Arabidopsis thaliana: one gene and its partner. The protein of the gene in region 1 interacts with the protein of each later gene in a pairwise test. Each region holds a gene or a part of one and is shown in the gene's direction. Other genes may lie near its edges.

Evidence for each region. Proteins that work in one complex are often made in the same cells at the same time.
Region 2: the proteins of PCL1 (region 1) and ELF4 interact in a two-hybrid assay, tested with the Arabidopsis thaliana proteins (one study listed by BioGRID).

Annotation. Positions count from the first base shown.
Region 1 is NC_003074.8:17,179,404-17,186,763, forward strand, and holds PCL1 (Homeodomain-like superfamily protein), read left to right. Parts: upstream 1-3,666; 5' UTR 3,667-3,844; coding exon 3,845-4,718; coding exon of another isoform or gene 4,719-4,816; exon of another isoform or gene 4,817-5,483; intron 5,484-5,485; coding exon 5,486-5,586; 3' UTR 5,587-5,648; exon of another isoform or gene 5,649-5,782; 3' UTR 5,783-5,951; downstream 5,952-7,360. Other genes in the region: RDUF1 (zinc finger (C3HC4-type RING finger) family protein), read right to left, coding at 1-621; AT3G46630 (DCL protein (DUF3223)), read right to left, coding at 1,735-1,905, 2,094-2,208, 2,606-2,943; AT3G46650 (UDP-Glycosyltransferase superfamily protein), read right to left, coding at 6,158-6,377, 7,187-7,360. UniProt on the Arabidopsis thaliana protein: Transcription factor that is essential for the generation of the circadian clock oscillation. Is necessary for activation of CCA1 and LHY expression.
Region 2 is NC_003071.7:16,732,449-16,738,361, reverse strand, and holds ELF4 (EARLY FLOWERING-like protein (DUF1313)), read left to right. Parts: upstream 1-3,449; 5' UTR 3,450-3,481; coding exon 3,482-3,817; 3' UTR 3,818-4,068; downstream 4,069-5,913. Other genes in the region: ATH9 (ABC2 homolog 9), read left to right, coding at 1-677; AT2G40085 (uncharacterized protein), read left to right, coding at 1,470-1,689, 1,767-1,828. UniProt on the Arabidopsis thaliana protein: Component of the central CCA1/LHY-TOC1 feedback loop in the circadian clock that promotes clock accuracy and is required for sustained rhythms in the absence of daily light/dark cycles.

The DNA of each region.
Region 1 (7,360 bases):
ACAATCTGAGATTTCGACTCTAGGTAAAGATTCAATCGCTGATTTCGACGCCGGTGGATTCCCAGATCTACCGATTCCGTTACCTGACGCTTCGATCTGACTCAATTGTTCAAGTAACCGTTCGAATCCAGATCCCATCAAGATCTCAGATACAGAATCAGGAAGAGGTCTTAGACCTGAACCAGATCCATCATCGTAATAAAACTCATAAGCTCGTCGTTCTCTAGTAGCTCCGTCACCTTCTTCGTTCTCAACTCTCTCACCGGCTCCTCCTCCTCCTCCGCCGTGTAAGACGATTACCGGATTAAAGGACGTCCGGCGATTAGATCTACGACGTCTAATTATAGATCTATGTGTTTCCTCAACCGATCTAACTTCCGGAGTCGAAGCCGGAATCGCCGCGACGGTGGAATTAGAAGAATCTTCAATCTCTTCGATGAATCCACCGTTGCAATAAGGACATAAGACTCCAGCGTTTGCGTCTTGATCTTCCCAAACGCTGATGAATCGTGTACAACTGTAACACCAATACGACGTCGTTAGAGTCGTTGTTGTTGTTGTTGTTGTGGTGGTTGATTCTGTCGTCGGAGTTATTGTCGCCGATCTAGAATTTGGCATCATCTTTTGAAAATAACTTGTGTTGCTGGTGAAAGGATCTGAAGTTGATGAGAGAAGGAAAAAGGAGAAAAAAGATTTGTTTATATAATGTGGTTTTTTGTAGGTGAGTGTTAACGGTGTTACTTTAGACGGTGAGAACACGTGACAGTGTTTTGAGTTTTGACTAGGGGAGATGATGACGGAGTTATTAACGGTGGTCTCTTTGGAGTGAAGAGCGTCATTGACGTGTGCGAGATATTTGACCCAAATGTGAAAACTGTTACCTTCGAAGAAGTTTCAGAAGAATCAGCGTGGGACCTACCTTCGTTTCTTTCTTTGAAAGTTACTAAACGTCGTCGTTTTGTGGGGTAAGTATACTTTAGTTGGAGTACAAAATAATTTTGTTTGTTTGTAAATAATTTGTTTCACAAGGTAAAAGATCCATTTGACCCCAAATTAGAAAAGAAAAAGAAGGTAAAAGATCTATTTGTATTGATGTGAAATATATAATATAAATCTTTGAATTTTGGAAATGATGTAAATGTGTTCTTGTATATGTTGATTATCAACATATGTTGACATATTTTTTAGTTTGTTTAAGGACTAAATGGTTATTGGTTCAACTTTAATTTTGTCAACTAAATGCTTGTAGTTTGTTAACCAAAACATTTGACTTTATGAGTTATATATATGGAGTCAATTATGGGTTGGAATAAGGTAGATTCTTCTCTTATCCTCATCGTTTGGAAACATTACAAAGCGTACTGGTTTGGGTTTCTTTTTGAGATTGTTCATTTTGGGCTTTGCTCTCTGACAGTTTAGACTTTGGAAATTCTCTAGCTACTTCGAAAGTTTGAAGTGACAATATTTTTACTTGCAAAGGATGTTCGAAGTTTCAGCTAAAAAGATTTTACAACATGCAAATATTGTATTCCATAACTAGAATTACTTTCGGTCTCAAAAATTGATTGTTCTGCAGTCTGAACCAACTACTATTTTCCTAACTCATTCAAGTCTTCCAATAGATTGAGCAATTTATAAATTTTGTACAACAAAGCTTCATAGCTGATTGTGTTATTTCAGCTAAAAATTTATGAGAATTTGCTGTGATGATGAGTGGGACAGTTATACAGATTTTTAGCTACTAGCACGCTTAAAATGTTCACGAATAAACCTCTCAGCGTGAGACGGGTACTTATCTCGAACATAGGCTCGAAGACACTTTTGGTACGAGAAATCTATCCATCCACCATCTGTTCTCACAACAAAGAGGCATCTTGAGTGCCTGAATTGTGGATGCCGATCAACCTGCCAGTAACAAAGTAGCACACTCATAAGTCCATGCACATAAAGCAAATGAAGATTTATGGATAGAGCATGTAAGTAAGTCATATATCTATCATGGTGATTCGAGAACTATGCACAATACCTCAAGATAATTTCTATATGAGTAGAGCTTAAAGAGAGAGATATCGGGTTAGCTCGAATTTACGTACCATTATAAAATCAAGACCACAACCAATTTTGTCTTTGGAATATGGGTGATAAGGAAGAAGCTTTTCCATGACAATTTTCTCATCCTCAAAATCTAAGCGTTCTCCATCCAAATACCTGCTTACCAAAAAGGAAAAAAAAAACAGCTCACTAGAACTGCAAAAAGTAATCTACACAAAGAAAACAGCAAGTATGCTCTGAAGCTAGCTTCAAATGTCAATAGTTCACTAGAAAAAAGTTGTAATTTGCCTAATGTTCAAGTAAACTGAAGATATATACAAGAGCATCTCTCACTTTCTGCAATGACCACTATAATCCTATCATCCATTGCTAAAGGATCCTCAACAATAAGCCAAGAATATCATCATGTGTAATAGTCACCTCAAAAGGCCATATGGTGTCTCTATGTTGTTTGATTAAGCTACTGGAAGAAGCTATGAGCCTATACCTTCAATACTAATCCAAACATGGAACAGCTATTGAAGAACAATCAGCAAGAATTTGAAGAAATTACCTATCGGAATGAAGAATTTCTTTAGCGAGAAGAGAAATAGGTTCAATATCTCGAAGAATCTCAGCCTCTAGATTCTTCCATTTCCGATAATCAGGATCTTCATAACGCCAGCTATTATCAACAACAGGCGATGTCACGTTCATCGCCGCCGCGCCGGATCCCTCCACCGGAGAAACAGAATCATTATTCTCGTAAAACTGTGGTCTATCAGCAAGAGAACACAACAAACGCCGACGGTGACTGAGAATTCCACCAGCTACGATACCAACTTGATGACGATGGTTGAGAAATCCGTTGCGGAGAAGCGGAAGCGTTCTGAGAAGAAGTAGCGAGGTCATCGACCACAATCAAGGAGTAATATAGACAATAATAACGAATAAAACCCTAATCTGTACTAATCACTCGAAGAAGATGAAAAATTGGGGAAATCTCAGAGAATCAGAAATTTGAGAAGAAGATAACGTTTCGTCAGTTTGTGAAGTTGGGGCATCGAACCCGTGACGTTGAAGAAGCTAAACAGAGTAACTAAACCTCTCTGAGCCTTTCCACAATAATTATTTTCATTTTCTTAAAAGTTAGGTGCCAGCCAATCTGTGCCGTTAGATTGATCTTTATATGCTTCTATAAATATCTAAAACAACAATCCAACGGTGGAAAGATCACATTGCGTGTCAGTACTGTAGATACTCATCACCGAATCTTTCTCCTCTTTTCACTCTCCAGCTGGCCGAACCCACCGGTTTTGCCCACTTTCTCTCTAGGCCCGCAAACACAACTTGCTAAGTCGGTAGTAATTTACTGAAAAACCCTCACAAATAGCTGACTTGGCTCTTTTCACTCCACGTGGCTCCATCTTACGTGCCTAGTTTGGTAATTTCAATTTCAATCACCTAGATCGTAACTATTGATACATAATGTGAACTGATGACGTGTTGAAAAGAGATTGGTTAGGTCGGTTTGAAAAGATATTTAGAAGATCTAAAATATCTAGCTAACTCGTCCACGTTGGAATTAAAATATTGCGCTTTTTCCTGGAAAAGAAAAATATAAAACAAGTGATAATCTTCTCTTTTTCGAAATTGTTTCACTTCTGAAAAAAAAAAAAAAAAAAATTGTTTGCTCATCATCTTCACAAACCAAACTTCTCTTCTTCTCCGATCTCAGATTTGAATTTTTATCGATTTTGAGCTTCGAAGAGCTCAATCTCTAACTGAATTTCGAGAAATTAGAGAGTTTGAAATGGGAGAGGAAGTACAAATGAGCGATTACGATGTTTCCGGCGACGGAGATAGGGTTTCTGAATGGGAGATGGGATTACCAAGCGACGAAGATCTAGCATCTCTTTCTTACTCTCTGATTCCACCGAATTTGGCGATGGCGTTTAGTATCACACCGGAGAGAAGCCGTACGATTCAGGATGTGAATCGTGCATCGGAGACGACGCTCTCGTCGCTACGTGGTGGATCTTCAGGTCCAAATACCTCGTCGTCGAATAATAACGTGGAGGAGGAAGATCGAGTTGGATCTAGCAGTCCTGGATCGGATTCGAAGAAGCAAAAGACATCAAACGGTGATGGAGATGACGGTGGCGGTGTGGATCCGGATTCGGCGATGGCGGCGGAAGAAGGAGATTCAGGAACTGAAGATCTATCTGGGAAAACACTTAAACGACCGCGTTTAGTGTGGACACCGCAGCTACACAAGAGATTCGTTGACGTTGTAGCTCACTTAGGGATCAAAAACGCTGTTCCGAAGACGATTATGCAGCTGATGAACGTTGAAGGATTAACTCGTGAGAACGTTGCGTCTCATCTTCAAAAGTATAGGCTTTACCTCAAAAGGATGCAGGGATTGACTAATGAAGGTCCCTCTGCTTCGGATAAGCTCTTCTCTTCAACACCTGTTCCTCCACAGAGCTTCCAAGATATCGGTGGCGGTGGCGGTAGCAGCGGTAATGTTGGAGTGCCGATTCCGGGGGCGTATGGAACGCAACAGATGATGCAGATGCCAGTTTATGCACATCATATGGGTATGCAAGGATATCATCATCAAAATCATAATCATGATCCTTATCATCAGAATCATCGTCATCATCATGGAGCTGGTGGAAATGGTGCGTTTGAGTCAAATCCTTATATGATGCAGCAGAATAAGTTTGGATCCATGGCTTCTTATCCTTCTGTTGGAGGTGGAAGCGCAAATGAGAATTAAAAAGAGTCTATAGATGGATTCAATGGGGGAGGAAGAGATAGGTGAGCTTGTTATTGCTCGTGGAACTGATAATTATTGTCAAGTTTCTGTTTTTTTAAGTACAGTACAGTTATAATTCTTACTCGATTTGATCGAAATTTTCATCAAGTTTCTGTCTTTTACTATAAATGGTATACAATAAAGTCTTAATAATCACTTGTTTGGTGATGTTGACAGAGTTAATATAATCAACTAAGTTGAATTTGATTTTGAGATTCTTGTGCTATGTTGAAATGTTATTGAGAATTAAGTATCAAAATTGCTCTCATGTGACTTGAGACTTAATGTAATCCAGATCATGTTTGATTCATCTTCGGAATTATATGGTGGTTTTGAAAACCATGTGTTTAATTTTCTCTTCGGGACTAGGTAACTAACACTGTGAGTTATGTCAAATCCAAGAGAGCATATGTGTCATGTGGCTCGACATTTTCTTGTGTACTCTTTTTGCAGAAGTGATAGTGTCATGTTATTTTGGTTTTGGTTTCCTCATTGGGAAAGTCTTGTGATGTTTTTTGATCTAGACAAGATATTACCTGTGCAAGCTTTTAGGTAGAATGAGCAGTTTCTCTTTTATGTTTGGGTTCTGCATCTTTTGCAGGTCTTGATCATATTTGATTGTTGTTACAGGTTCTTGGTGTCTACAAAATTTCTTATCTTTTGCGGAGTTTTCCACCGCAAAGTCCCAAATTGCATCTGTTCAGGAGAGGATCATACAAAGTATCATGTAGAAGCTAAACCAAGAGAAGACTGCAGACAAATTTCATATACTCATTTTTCTATCTTGTAAGAGGTAAGTCCCTTTGTTTTATTTGTCTGCAGACTTCTTAAAGTGGTAATCAAGAGAGTGAATTGTTTATTTCTGTGAGAGATGGCGTCAGACACAAACTTTATTTTAAAAATTTATAAACCAATCAAATGTTTCAGAAGAAGCCATTTTAATACAATCAAGTATTCCTCATATGATGACCTTACGAGTGATTGGAGAGCCACATACCAATGAACGTCCAACAAAAGGAAGAAAGTGACATTTTAACAAAAGCAAAAGTCTTTCCAATGTTTCTTGCTGACATAGGTTTCAGCCACTTAGGGTTCTACTTTGAGATTTAGATAATAATTTCAAGACCTTTTCATCTCCAATATATGTTCATAATTTTCATTAATATATGATTGTTTCTCTGCACATCATACATTCAGTGACAACCTTATCTTCAGACCTTGATTATCTTATTTAATAGTAGCGAGATTCTTCTAGAATAGAAAAGTACATAGATTTCTTAACATCCACACAAGTAATTGTCTTCATAGAGTCATCATGAAGTGTTCAAACTCCTTTAGCGAGTTGTGTAAAGAACCTCCACCTCTAACAGAGGCTCTCAGCTCCTCCTTCAAAGTGACGGCTCTCTTTCTCATTTCCTCTCCTTCTTCGAAAACCGTTAACCTCTTCACAGCTCTCTCGACCGCTCCTCTTTCTAGATCACCCTCCACTTGAATCCCAATTTTCCAAACACACTCCAAGTACCTTGCGTTCACCCGAAAATGGCCTGCAAATCACCGGAACTCCTTCGCTGATCATGTTTTCTAGTATCGAGTTGCATCCTTTATGGCTCCAAAACGCCCCTATTGCAGGATGAGCAAGTACTTCCTTCTGTGGAGCCCTTTTCACAATGTAGTTGATACATATGTTTTCTACTTGTTTATAGGGCGGAAGCTACTGTTACTAAGAAACCTGCTTTTCCTCCATTTCCAAAACCTACAAGAAAACTAATAAGTAGCTCTCTAAGCTCCGGGCTTATAGATTACTCTGCTTCTCATCTTCTTTGAACGTTTTATATATATAAATATCAGATTCTCGCTTGTGGACACTAATTCATCCGTATAATGTTTTGTTAGCTCTCTTTGCGCACATGTGAAGCATGTGGTCGATGGTGTACGCAAGTAGTTACATCTCTTTATTTTGTTAGAGAGAGTAGTAATCAAAGACAAAAGAAAAGATGTTTATTGTGATGCAACAATTCTATATTGAGCAAACTGCCAAGAGTGATACAAAAGAAACCACACTTTGCAAATTTTGCAACAATTCAATTAATATTACATGAAGTTCAACATCTTTGCTTTGTCTTCAAGTAATTGACAATATCTTCCAATGCGTTGTATGAGGCGCCTCCACTACTGACAGAGGCTTTGATCTTCTCTTTCAGAACAAGGGCTCTCTCTCGCATCCCCGCACCTTCGTCATCCACGATCAACCTCTTCACAGCTCTCTCAACCTCTCCTCTATCCACTTTACCTTCCACCTGAAACCCTATTCTCCAAACACTTTCTATATACATTGCATTCAACTTTTGCTCGCCATGAAAGGGCTTGCAAATCATTGGAACTCCTTCTCCAATGCTCTCGAGTATTGAGTTCCATCCACAGTGGCTCCAGAAGCCTCCCACTGCAGGATGTCCAAGTACTTCTATCTGCGGTGCTCGTTTCACAATGTATCCTCTTTCAGAGACC
Region 2 (5,913 bases), on another chromosome or scaffold:
TGATGTTTAAACATGGGTTTGTGCACTGTGACCCACACGCTGCCAATTTGATTGTTCGTCCAGATCCTTCTGGTAAGAGGAACATATATGGCAAGAGAAAACCGCAATTAGTGATTCTTGACCATGGCTTGTACAAGGAGCTTGACTTCAACACAAGATTCAACTATGCTTCACTGTGGAAAGCATTGGTCTTTTCGGATGCTAAAGCCATTAAAGAACACAGTGAGAAATTAGGCGCTGGAGATGATCTATACGTCCTATTCGCCGGGATACTTACAATGAGACCATGGAAGCAAGTCATCGACACATCTGTGGATCATTTAGTCATCCAAGGCAACAAAGAAGATGTATCAGAGCTACAGATGTATGCATCACAGTACTTCTCCGAAATCTCAGAGCTTCTCAGGAGATTGCCACGCGTGATCCTTCTGATGCTGAAAACAAACGACTGTCTCCGGTCAGTTAACAATGAGCTAATGCAAGGATCGTCTCTCGAGTCGTTCTTGATCATCGGGAAAGTATCTTCCCAAGCGGTTTTAGAGGCAAAGAGAGCTGAAAAGAAATCGTTGATGAAATGGCTGAAGGTATGGTTTGAAGGGTTCTCTGTTGAAGCAAGGCTTTGGGTAATGCAATTTGCACTTTGGATCTTACAAGTCAGAAAATCCTTAACCCTTTAATATAAAACGTTCCTGCCAATTTTATATTACACACCTCTCTCTATTCTTTGGTAAGTGGGTATCAAAAAATAACATTTATCATTCTTTGTATACTACACAAGGCTGTTATGTAACAAACCAATAAATCAACTTTATATATACTATGAGATTTGTATCATTTGTATGCTGGGAAGAGCTTATTACTTTAAATTTTTTTTTATATAAATCTTATTATCTTCTTAATAGTATTTCTTACAAAAACAATTGAGAATTTCTACTCATTTTTTTCCATCATTTATGAGAACCTTATGTAAACAGGTGTTGACATCTGAATCAAATTGAACCGAGATGGTTCGGTTTGGTTCGGTTTTGGGTTTGGTTAAATTGAGAAACCTGAATTATGCAGCGACCAAGATCTTATTCTCTGTTCTGTCTTTTCAACACTCGAGTCTGTCTGTCTGTCTCTTCTACGCAGCCGCGACTCCTTCTGTCTCCACCGCTCTATAATCTCCCCTGCGATCAATAAGGACATTTTCTCCGGTAAAGTCTCTATCTTTCTTCGTCTCTATCATTTCGCTTTGTGTTTCGTGTCACCTACATTTGATAAACCCTAGAGAGAAACAAATTGAGTGCCTTTCGAAATCGCAGAAGCACATTGTTAAAATTCGATTGATGGGTCATTGTTTTATTACACGTAATCTATTTCTGTTGATGAAATTAGGTCTATTAAAGATGTGATTTTGATATTTGGGGTCTCACAGCTTTTTTGAAAAAGCTTACACATTTTGTTTGAATTTGTCATTGTTGTTGTAGATGGAAGAGAGTGATGCTGTTCCAAAACCAGTTGTTGTTGATCCTCCATTATACGACGAAGCTTCTCCGTCAGCTTCTCAGCGCCGTCCGGTGGTGATCGCCGCCGATGCAGCTCCTCCGGCAGAAAATCATCTCATTCAAAGGATTCAAAGAGCTCTTGTGGAATTGCGCGAGTTGAGAAATCAGTTTAATGCCATTCTTAGGGAACTAGAATTCGAAGGTTTGTGTGTGTTTCATCTTCCTATTCTACGTTGTGTTTTCTAGAAAAAGAGATAAACAATTTTGATGATAATGCAGTGGGAGAAGAAGAAGAGCAAGCGGAATCATCAGTGGAAGATCCAGAGGACTCTGATTCTTAGTTTGTTTATTAGACTTTTTTTTTTTGTTTCTTCACTAGTAACCTATTTCTATCATGTTTCTATCTCTCTGCCCCTCATGATTTCCTGCGGTAATTATCTTTATCACTCTAAATCATCAAAGCCAACCCTTAACAGATCAATAAGTCTACTAAAAGAGAAATTACAAGTTTTTTTGAAGGAAGAATCAAACACATTCCACATAACATATAATATGCAGTTGTCTATCGTAAATGTTTTACCTTGACAATGGTTTTCGCAAGTAACGCATAATGGTCGAGAAACATTACATTTGCGACGAATTTGAACCTTATTCCCATATATCTCGAGAAGGTGACATTGCTTCATTTATGGGTATTCACCAAATAAGCATTCAATATGAATGGTAGTAATAAAGATTACCACTCGTACTTCTATGAACTTGGATTCAAGTTAGAGCCATTGTGAGTCCACTTCTGAATCTTTCCACTTACCAACCCATTTAGATGTTGCAGAATTACCATTTCTATTGGTTTTCCTATCTGCTTCTTTATCTTTGAGAAGCCAGCTTAAGTTTTAGCGCATTTAGCTCTTATTGCAAGATTGCATTGTGTCATAAAAGGTCGTTCTAAGTAAAATCTGGCACATGTTTTTCCAGTTAGTGGATTCATTTGTGAAACAGTTTGGAAAATGTTGCGGTTAAGAACTGTATTGCCAAAAATAAATTAAATGTTTTTCATCATTACTCATTGGTGACTGAAATGAATTGAGGTCCCTATACTCTTATTGCTTCTCAGCATCGAGTTGTTTGTGCATCACCATTGTCATGACTCATGATTTTTAGAATCATTTATGCAATTCATCATCTTAATCATTATCATTATAGGATGATTGTATCATATATAACAGTCGAAAGGGAAGGGCCAAAAAAAGTGAAATAAAGTTTTGTTCTTTGTAATGGAAGAAAAAGTTGGGAGGAGAATCATGGTTTCACTATGGTTCTTTGGAATTTTGATTTTGGTAGTTAGTGCCCAGGTTCCGGGAACCAAATTCTGATCATACTACAAAAAAATATCTTGCGGATTATTGTAGCTCTTGTCTTGCATAACATGAAGCTTGGAATTAACTAAAGAAAGTTTCTTAGAGATTCTTCTTCTTGTTTGTTCTCTAAAGAATCTAACACTCTTTGTAATGTTTATCTAAACTTGGAACTAATTAGATGTGAAACACTACAATTCATTAAACATGAGATCATGCGTATAGGAATTTGGTTCCTGCTGCACCGTGGCAAGTCGTACACCATATACCTTTTTCCCTATTTTATTCATATTTTACTTTATATTCACTTTACAATAAATATCTTTAGATATTTCTACAATAAGATCCTTATCTCTCTCCATGGTTTAATTAAAAATAAATCCAAGAAAAGTGCATAAAAAGATATGTACTTTTTATTCCTCTACCCAATCACTTCACAGCTTCACTCACGCGCGTGTTCTTTGATATCAGATAGATACGTCTACGTGAGATACACGCTCTTGTTAATCAAGTGGTGATGAAACAGAACTTACTCGCCTCGGTGTCCGATTCTACTCAGAAGATATTTACTATAAATATCTGATTTCTCTCGACTTTGACGAAAATCAAAAAGAGAGAAAAACACAATTAAAAATTATTATGAAGAGGAACGGCGAGACGAAACGGCGGAGGAACGTGGCGGAGGAGGCAGAGCAGGGAGAGGATCCGGCGATGTGGGAGAATCTTGACCGGAATTTCAGACAAGTGCAATCAGTTTTAGACAGAAACAGATCACTGATTCAACAAGTCAACGACAATCACCAATCGAGAATGGCTGATAACATGTCGAAGAACGTTGCTTTGATTCAAGAACTCAACGGAAACATTTCCAAGGTTGTTAACATGTATTCTGATCTCAATACTAGTTTCTCGTCGGGCTTTCACGGTGGGAAGAACGGTCACGATGGTGGTGGTGCTGCCGGAACTAGAGCTTAATGAACCGGAATCAAATTGTTTCTTCTTAGTTGGACCGGCCGGTTTGAGAATTTTGAATCTGTCCGGTTCAAGCTATGATATAAAGTAAATGTTTAGTTTTTGTATTGCAATGATGATTGTCGTTAGAATAATCCGTGGGAGCAAACCCATCTCTATTGGGGTTATTTTAGTTATGGTTTTGAGTCTTTTTCAATGTGTCTCTACTGCAATCTCTCTAATGATTATAATAATAATTGATACAGTATTAGATTACTTCTGGTTTGATTCTATTTAGAGACTTTTCTCATGTGACCTTGATAATAAATGAAGGCTTGTGGTTAGATTGTTGCAACTTGGAGTAAGTAATTTCGTCACATAGTGATGCAATTTGGTATGACATGTTAAATACAGTTGTTTTCTAGTGACTTTTCACTAGGCTGTGTATTAGAGAACTCTAGCATAGAAAATTTCTACGTTGTGACAATATTCATTTCCATCAAAAAGCAAACAGAAACTGCAGTAAAATAAATGTTGATACATGAGATCATGATCTAAAACCCAGGCAAACTATTTCGGCATTCATATACCACTAGAAAGCAAAGATCTTAAGAAGACGAAAGAGCTTTTGCACAAAAAGGACTAAAAAGAAGCATAGTTATTTGAAAGGGGACAAATGGCCAATTTCATATCAAAACATGAACTATCAAACCTATAAGTTTTTTTTGGGATTAAAATGGCATATGAAGAGGTTTAAAGTGATTAGCTCTGCTGTGACTGAGTAAATTTATGATTTCACTACTTTTTCTTGTAAACTTCTTGTACCTTATATTCTCAGTCATCATAAAATAGCAAATTCTTGCTCTCTTTGTGTGTGTAATATGGTATATATAAGGAAATTATGTACGATACTTTGTAACATTTGAATTTGATTTTTCTGTTGAGCATTAAGAATTTTGTTCTTCGTGAGAAAAAATATTTCATACAAAAACGATTCAAAACCATTACAAACTTACTTTGTCTAAGCAGGAAAAATAATTGATGGTCGAAAAGGATAAAAAAACAGAGGTCACATTAATATCAAACTAAACAATTGAAAGAAAACAACTACTTGGGCCTGATGGGGTTTGTCGGGCTCGCAAGAATCGACTGCTTGTTGGAGTTGATGTCATTAAGCAGTTTGCACTTGGCTTAATTTGGACTGTGGTGGACATAAGATGTGTTAGATTAGAAACATTACAACACTGATATGGTTGATGTTATTCTTGAATCATGACTCATGAGGATACATTTTCATTTATATTGTTTACTCTTTAATCTTTATATAGAAGAGGATACATTTTCATATCATTAGATGTAATTGACATATTAAAGATTGTGTGATTGTAAGGATTTTGAAGTAACTTATATTCCTTTTTTTAGGAAATACACCACATGATCAAATCTATCTTCAACGTTTTCGTGTCATAATACTTCATTTATGACAAAATTCTCTGTACCATTTTGACAACTACTGGCTTTGTCTTCTCCAAACACTTTGTTTTCAACATGATGGTGTTCATCAGTTATGTGATGGTGGTGACAATGACATTGTACATGCCCTTGACCATATAAATCGTAGGAGAAATATCTGTCCTTTTATATTATCTTGTCTTACTGGACCATTGAATTTTTTTGTCTCTTTCATCAGATTAAGTTATGTAAACCTTTTTTCTTCATAGAAGTTCTTATATGAGCTTTTTCTTTTTTCCTCAAGAAGAAGATTACACGGGTATACATACTAGAGATAGAGGTACAGAGGCTAATCTCTTGACTTGTAGGCTTGAGCCTAGGGAAGACAAATGAAGGTGCAGTGTATTCCAAATTAGCAACATCTAAAATTTAGGATTTTGCCCTACAAGTCTCGACCAGTGTGTACGACACTAATCACAATCATATAAATCTAGTGGAATATTAAGTTTTAAACTATTAATCAAACTTAGCTCTCCATCTACGACGGCAAATCCGATCCTTAGTCAAGAAATCCAAATGATGTTTCACACAACCACACAGTTTATCGTATATTACAACAAAAATGTTGAGAAATGTTGCAATATAGTGACAACAAACATCACGCACTA